Coturnix japonica: one gene and its partner. The protein of the gene in region 1 purifies or fractionates together with the protein of each later gene. This does not show direct contact. Links are inferred from orthologs where the notes say so. Each region holds a gene or a part of one and is shown in the gene's direction. Other genes may lie near its edges. The genes, in order: CAPN2 and SPATA5L1.

The links.
Region 2: the proteins of CAPN2 (region 1) and SPATA5L1 purify together in Homo sapiens (co-immunoprecipitation; 3 studies listed by BioGRID and IntAct, with this or other methods). This does not show direct contact. The link is inferred for Coturnix japonica from reciprocal best matches to the Homo sapiens genes CAPN2 and AFG2B.

Annotation. Positions count from the first base shown.
Region 1 is NC_029518.1:15,399,658-15,403,975, reverse strand, and holds the start of CAPN2 (calpain-2 catalytic subunit), read left to right. Parts: upstream 1-1,474; 5' UTR 1,475-1,570; coding exon 1,571-1,966; intron 1,967-2,083; coding exon 2,084-2,153; intron 2,154-4,318. UniProt on the Homo sapiens protein: Calcium-regulated non-lysosomal thiol-protease which catalyzes limited proteolysis of substrates involved in cytoskeletal remodeling and signal transduction. Proteolytically cleaves MYOC at 'Arg-226'.
Region 2 is NC_029525.1:9,455,274-9,458,970, forward strand, and holds the end of SPATA5L1 (spermatogenesis-associated protein 5-like protein 1), read left to right. Parts: intron 1-179; coding exon 180-389; intron 390-801; coding exon 802-1,029; intron 1,030-1,496; coding exon 1,497-1,631; coding exon of another isoform or gene 1,632-1,718; exon of another isoform or gene 1,719-1,760; intron 1,761-2,285; coding exon 2,286-2,411; intron 2,412-2,668; coding exon 2,669-2,821; 3' UTR 2,822-2,960; downstream 2,961-3,697. Other genes in the region: C10H15orf48 (normal mucosa of esophagus-specific gene 1 protein), read left to right, coding at 3,398-3,439, 3,572-3,660. UniProt on the Homo sapiens protein: ATP-dependent chaperone part of the 55LCC heterohexameric ATPase complex which is chromatin-associated and promotes replisome proteostasis to maintain replication fork progression and genome stability.

The DNA of each region.
Region 1 (4,318 bases):
CATTTTTTGCTGTTCTGGATGTACAGGCTTCTAGGCACCCTATTATTCTGAAAATTGAGGGGCTATTACTATGCAGACCAGTGTGAGCTGTGACATGCCTTCAGTGTCTGTCCATAACATTATTCTTTAGAAGTCACTGCTCCAAATATGAAGCCTCACAATACAGTGGGGCTGGCCCAGGGGATGAGGAGCTGGGAAGAGCATTTCACAAGATGGCTGAGACCTTGCCAATACCCCTCACTGCCTTGGCTGGGCTTCGTGCTGGTGAGGAAACCTCCAGCCCCAAAGGGGAAAGCAAATCCCTTTGTTGTGTAACACCACCAGTGCTGCCAGCCTTCTCCTTTAGGAAGCCATCTCCATCTGGGGATGCTCTTGGGGAGGAGAGCAGCACGGCCCCCTGCTCCACTCCCTGGACCATTGGGCAGACTTTATCTTCCATCCCCACAATATCTGTGTGTTGTGTAGGGCAGAAAGAGTATCAGGAAGGCAAATGAAAAGAGAATCATGGAATCATTTGGGTTGGAAGGGACCCCAAAGTTCATCTGGTCCAACTGCCCTGCAATGAATGGCAACAGCTACAGCTCAGTCAGGTTCTCAGAGCCCTGTCCAGCCTGACCTAGAGTGTTTCCAGGGATGGGGCACCCACCATCTCTCTGGGCAACTTGTGTCAGTGCCTCACCACTCTCATTTGTTAAGAACTTCTTCCTTATACCAAATCTAAATCTCCCATCTTTTGGTTTGAAACCATTTCCCCTTGTCCTATCACAACAGTCCCTGCTAATGAGTCTGTCTCCTTCTATCTTATAGCCCCCCTTTAGAAGGGAGACAGATGCTGTGAGGTGTGTGGAGAGGCCCTCTTTTCTAGGCTAGTGAAAACCACTGCTTTAAACTGACATTAGTTTCCTTCTGTTGTGGCTGTTGAAAATGAGGTTAGTCTGATCTGTGGCGGCTGTACAGCTCTGATCCACTGTGTGGAGCCAAACCAGTGCCTTTGGAGCAGCTCTGTGGTTACGTGGCTCCCCGCAGCTTACATTACAGGGCTAAGACGGTGTTAATGAAAGGTTTCTCCCACTGATCAGCTGAAAATGTTTTTATTGCTTTTATTGCACCCAGTGCTGCTCACACACGTTGTCTGCAGACCCTTCACCGTCTTTGTTGCTCACTTTTGGATGCCCTATGACACAGTGATGTCTGTCTTATGTTGTGGCATAAGACCCAGTGCAGGAGGAGAGGCCGTGCAGCTCAGAGCAGTGGGACAAGCCCTCCCCTCCATCCAGCTGGAGGCATCCAGGCTGTGACTGGCCTCTGGGGGCTCCAGGGCACACTAGGAGTTCAGTCTAAACTAGGAGTTCAGTCCAACAGGACGGCTCCAAACGAGCCCTACGTGCTCTCAGAGCCCGGGATCCGCTGCCCCAAAAGCGGTGCCTCCCCGTTCCGCCGTGCAGTGCAGTGAGTCAGCCACGAAGCACGGCACCAACAGCCCGAGCTCTCGCAGTGCGGACAGCCCTCCCGTAGCGATGCCAGCGGCGCCGGGGCAGGATAGGCGGCACGGGGGGCTCCGCACGGACAGATGCCATCCTCGGACACGTGCGGGGCTTTGCTTCCCTGCAACCCCACGAGGGATTTTTGGTCGGGATGGGCCTCGCCGTTCCCCTCCCACGACCCGCGGGGTGCGACACGCCCGGGGCGGCCCCGTGACGGAGAGGCGTGTCTGCGGGGCGGCGGGGCGATGGCGGGGATGGCGGCGGCGCTGGCGAAGGAGCGAGCGGCGGCGGCGGGTGCGGGGCGGCACGAGCAGGCGGTGCCGTACCTGGGGCAGAACTTCGGGGCGCTGCGCAGGGAGTGCCTGCAGGACGGCCGCCTCTTCCAGGACCCCTCCTTCCCCGCCTGCCCCGCCGCTCTCGGTTATCGCGAGCTGGGGCCCAACTCGTACAAAACGAAGGGCGTCGTCTGGCTTAGACCTACGGTAGGTGCCCAGCTCGGGGTGCCCGAGATGCGCGGTGCACTCCGGCTCCATCCCCGCCGTTGTGTCTCTCTCGGCTCCCTCCTCCTCCTCTCGTAACTCGGGCTCGTTCTGTTCCAGGAGCTGTGTTCCTCCCCCCGGTTCATCTCCGGCGGAGCCACGCGCACCGACATCTGCCAAGGAGCGCTGGGTAAGCGCTGCGCCGTGCGGGTTCGCACTGTGCTGTACCCTCCCTTTCCCATCGTTTCGCCCCGTGTCATGTTGGAGCAGGAAGGATGCGGGCAGGTTTTCCATTTCCCGATTGCTGCCTGCCTTTGTGCGCTCCTCAGCCTGACTCACGGTTGCCGTTAGCAGCACGGCAGCGCATAAAGGATGTGCATGTTTTGGAGCGGGCCCAGAGGAGGATGCTCAGAGAACTGGAGCCCCGTTGCCATAGCTGAGCAGTCAGATGTTCTCCTCAGGTTATGTGGTACCTCCAAAGAGTATGAACTGAGTCACAGCCTGTATTCCTTTCCCTACCGAAACAATATTTGAATAGGAGGCTGTTAGCATTCAGGTTTGTTCTCAGCATGACTAACTGCTGCTGTGACTGGCCTCCCTATCTTCTTACCAATCTGTGTGAGGGAGTTGTCTTCTCTGTATCTTACTGATGAACTAATTCAATGCTATGGGGTTTTCCTCTGTAGCCGCTGAGTTACTAAGACCCTGCTTTGAATCTATGTTCTTTCTCACAGATGTTCTATGTAAATGCTTCTTTTCTTTGCTTTTGCCTCTTCTGACACTCAGCTTTGCACTGAGAGATTTACCTAAGCTTCCATTTACTTGAACTTCACTTGCTAACACTGATGTCACATCATGTTTTGTGAGGTTCCAAAGAACATTGCACTAGAATACATCAGGTGCTCTTGGAAATCTGCATTTTATATTACTGTATTGCTGTTTGTCCATAGAAAACTAGTGGCCTATTTATCACCCAAAAAGCTTGATCAGAAAGCAACAGGCCTGTGCCCACGCAGAGTTTTACAACTGGTGCTCACCCATTTGGAGTATCTTAGAGTACGTATCCAAAGCACATGCACCTGTCACTGCTGGGACACACTTCTTGGCATGAATCTCTAGCACAGAAAAGCTCACTGGGTTCTCAGGACAACAAAGCTCTTCCCTTTTGGCTTTGGGTTAGCCATTATTCTGCTTTACAATTGTTATTCAGAAGCTTTTTAGGACAAGTATTCAGAATCAATTTTGCAGTATCAGGTCTGCAGTTAATTATGGGCTTTGGTCCAGAGCTGCAGCAAATGGGATGTGGTGATTCATCACAGCAGAAGAACCAAAGCAAATACAGAGGAAGTTATTCACCCTTAACCACATTCTTTGGAGGGATGTCACCATGGTATCACAACACTGAGGTGTACAGGGCGCAGTATCTTTTATACGCTGTTTAATCACAGATGTATCCTCCTTGAATACAGAGTTGTGGAAAAGTGATAAAGTGAGTAGGATGAATGTAGAAAATGAGATGCATGGTTTTCCCACGCTGAAAACCACTCTGTTATGAGTGAGTTGGCACAGCCTCTTGTCTCCAACCAGAAAATTTCTGGGGGGGTCCCACATTATTAATATAAATACATTCAGCCACTGACATAGTTGGTTAGCCCAGCCTGGCTGTCAGCCCTTTCAAATATTCCCTATACAGAACCTATACAAGCCTGAGATGCCAGACCTGCTTTGTGCACATCTGCAAAGCCTTGCAGGGAGGGGGGATGTGTGTCAGCACTGCTCAGATGGGCAGGCTGTGGGCAGTCCAGCAGGGATGGAAAGGGAAGGGTGGGTGCTCTGTGGGACAGCGAGCTTCCTGCACACCCCTGCCACCATGACCAGCTTCTGAGAGAGAATCTTTGTTTTACTGTGTTGGTTTAGTTGGCTGCTTATAAAGTCTGGAAATGAAAGCTCACATACGGCCAAACCAAATGTACAGTCCTACAGATAAACTCAGTCTTTTGACTCTGTGATCAATGATAGGTTATTTGGCCTATGTGCTGATGCCTGATAACCCACCAGCCTGTGATTTTTGCACGTCTCATGCCTGATGCTAGTGTTAAGGGTGCTTTGAGATTGTTTGTTAGAAATTAAACATGACCCTAGTGGTCTTTTCCTACCATAATGATTCTATGATTCTCCTAAGGAGGAGTTCTGAAATGCCATTTCTTCCTATGGGTTGCAGGAGTCAGGGGGTCGCTGGGTCCTTACATCTGTAACCACTTAGTTAATGAGCTTAACTGGAAAGTGACCACTCTGTTAAAACAACATTTGTTTCTGAAAATAAATGCAATAGTTGCAGTCTTGGAGAAGGATGGT
Region 2 (3,697 bases), on another chromosome or scaffold:
GCTCCAGAAGGGTGGCTTTGTGTTTTTTCTACCAAGGAAGACCAAATTAGCATTATGCGTTGCTTTCAAATTAATATATGCACTAAAGAGTTGGAGTATTGTGCTCCGCTGTTTTGTTGGTTGTCTTTGATCTTCAGTTCTGTCACCGAGAATTTCATCCCTTGTTTATGTGTTGACAGAGTGTGGAGTGGCCCATGAAATTTCCTCAGGCATTTGTGAGGATGGGCCTGTCTCGTCCAAAGGGTGTTCTTCTCTACGGGCCATCGGGCTGTGCCAAAACCACACTGGTGAAGGCTGTGGCCACAAGTTGTCACTGTTCCTTTCTCTCTGTAAGTGGTGCTGAACTGTTCTCACCTTATGTTGGAGATTCAGAGAAGATTTTATCTCAGGTACAGTTTCCAATTTGTATAAGGTGTAAAAATTCTTTTTGCTTGATTTTTTTTGTAAGTCAGGTCTGCATTTTTCTCTTGAAAAAATGGTAGTTAAAACTCTTATTTGATTAGGATTGATAACTAACTTAAGGTTTCCTGTATGTGTGGACAGGAAGTCTAGCCCTAACATGATGCCAGTTTTCAGCTTTGAAAATATTTCTACCCTCTTGTTTTCATTTCACTTCAGAATTTAATTCAGAGGCAGAATTTGCCTGTAGTGAATGGAAGCTGGAGAGGCTTCTTGGATGAATGTTTCTTTTTTGAGTGTGAATGAATTTAAGTCTTCATCCCTAAGTAAGACTATATGTAAACAGGTGGATTCACCTTATCTGAAAGAACGTGTGCATTAACATTTCATTTTAAAAATCAGGTTTTCCGCCAAGCAAGAGCAAATTCTCCAGCAATTATATTCCTGGATGAAATTGATTCTATCCTGGGATCTCGATCGCACAGTAAAACTGGCCGTGGGGTCTCAGAGCGGGTGCTGTCTGTTCTTCTCAATGAGTTGGATGGTGTTGGACTGAAAGTCACGGAAAGAAGAGGAAATAAACTACAGCTTGAGGAGAGATGTGAAGAACCAAGTGATGAGGAAAGACAGGTATTTATGTTCCTTTTTCTGTATGGTACATATGATACAAATGAGAAGTGCAGCCCAGCTGTTCAAAAATAAGATGGTGCTATTCTACTTTATCATCATTTCTGATTTTTATATAATGCTGTTTGAATGCTGCTCGCTGTTTTTTAGGTCTGTTTCTCAATGAAACTATTTGAACAAAATACCCACACAGGCTCATGAACAGAAATAGCTGGTGTACTTTTTGTGTCACAAAAATCATCTTGCTTGACATAGATTATTCTTTTAGGCTGCGTCATTCTTGCTGTTATATAGGTTCATTTCTTCATCTCAAGAAAACAAAGTCCTGATACTGAAAGGAAAATAATTACATACAGGGATGCATTTTCTATTCTCCCTCCCACTTTTGTCACTAATAGTTAACAAATGTCTTAACCCATCTCTGTTTTAACTGTGTTGCACTAATCCCTTCATACCATCTCTTTACTCAGCTGGAGTTTCAGGAGACTTTGAGCAGAGATATCATGGTAGTTGCTGCAACAAATAGACCAGATGTGTTGGATGATGCCTTGCTGCGCCCTGGAAGATTAGACAGAGTGATCTATATTCCACCTCCGGATCTAAAGGTGCTGTATGACAATCCATACCTGGTGTTAAATGGAGAGAGAAAAACTGCCGAGATGCAAAAAGAACAATCTAATAGCGTGTTTTAGAACTGAGAGACAGCTCACTGGAGATGAGTTACCGAACTCAAGGTACCCAAAAAAGGGAATGATTACATTTGTAATTTAAGTACCACAAAGATTTGAACTGATGATGTAGATACGCTACTCATAGAAAACAGACAACAACCTGGAGCACTTCTCTATTCATGAAAACAAGCTGTAGGAAGTATCATGTGAAGTTGGCTGCCCTTTCTTCAAACCCTTATTGTTCCCTGTAAATATTCAGTGGTATAAATGCTTGTCCTGAGCTTCCCTCCCCACCCTAAAACGTAAGAGATGACCCAAGGCAGGAGATATATGGAATCATATATCTCAAATAGTCCATTTTTATGAAGTAATGAGTAACTATGAATACTAGATGTGAATATGAGTTAACCATAAAAGTAAATATGATCTCCATTAATAATACTTCATTTACTCTTTCACCAAGAACTTGCTAATTCTGTTTTTGTATTTTTCTCTGTTTCCTTCATTTTAACATGAAATTGAGGACTGTTTTGGAGTGGGAGTAATTGTTTGCTTTGCTTTTTCTCATTGATACGTGCCACCTCACAGGGAAGGCTTTCCATCCTGAAAGTCTGCACAGAGAAAATTCCATTAGATACTGACGTGTCACTACAAGATCTAGCAGCACTAACAGACCTGTTCTCTGGGGCTGATATTGAAAATCTATGCAGGGAGGTAAGAAATATTTGTGGTTATCTGTGAAATAAAGTATAAAATGTGGCCTTTCAGTGGGAAAAAGAACTAATTTATATGTATTACTAAGCCATCTGCAGTACGGCTTATTCTGCATGTGGGGCATACACTGGTCTCATCACTCATAAATACCAGGAGTCCTACAGTGCTGTTGTCTGATTTTGTGTAACACAGTTCAGTTACTTCTGTGCAGCTTAAAACCAGGAAGCACTTGTTAATATTCCCTTTCTTTTTTTAAGGCTGCTCTGCTGGCGTTGCAGGAGAACGGACTTGAAGTGACCGCTGTAAAACACGAACACTTTGTAAAATCACTGCAGACTGTGAAGCCATCTTTAAGCATGAAAGACTTGGAATTCTATGAAAACATGTATAGTCGGGAATTAACTTGTTGAATCCTAAAGGAATTATGTGGCCTGAGTGTTAGTAAATGGATCATGGGACAGCTTTGCAGTCTGTCTTGTCTTCTGCTCTGTCACGCTGTATTTATTGCCATTTTCAATTTGTATGAAATACAGTAAAATTTCACTTTTGGAAAATCTGTGGTGTCAGTGATGAATGGATCTGTGGTTGCTGGGGTTGGGTCGCCAGAGGCTGAGGGGATGATTGAGATACAGTGAGGCTGTTTGTCGTTATAGCTGTGGCTGAGGGTCAGCTCTGTCTGTCCCATAGACGTTCAGTTTCAGGCCGTAGGGCTGCACTGCCGCAGCCCTCTGTGCTTCGCCCGCACCGCCCGCCAGGGGCCGCCCGCACCATTGGAGCTGCGATGCCGATGTGTGCGGGTTATGGGGTGCGGGCTGCGGGGCGTGTGGGCGGCACCGCCCGGCCCCATCGCGTATATAGGGGCGCAGAGCTCACTGCCCGCACCGCGGAGTGCTGCCCGGCCTGTCCCATCCGCCAGGTAACGGGGTCCCAGCGGTGCCGAGGAGCGGGGCTCTGACGGGACCATCTGCTGCCGGTCCGCAGGCAGGATGAGCGCGAGCTTCTTCCAGCTGCTGAGAAAGAAGAAAGAAGTAAGTGTGCCCGGCAGCACCGCTCGGGGCAGCGCAGCGCGGGGACAGCGGGGCCCGGCAATGCAGCGGGTATCGCTTCTGCGCTCCTGCTGACCGCTCCGTGCGCTCACCTCTCCCCTCGGTGTCTTTCAGCTCATCCCCCTGATCGGAGTCTTGTCCTGCGCTGCCGTTGGGGCTGCTGCTTTTTCAGTCTATTCCCTCGTCAGCAAATCCGATGTGATGTAAGCGAACGCTGCTGGGAGCTGCCCCGATCCCTGC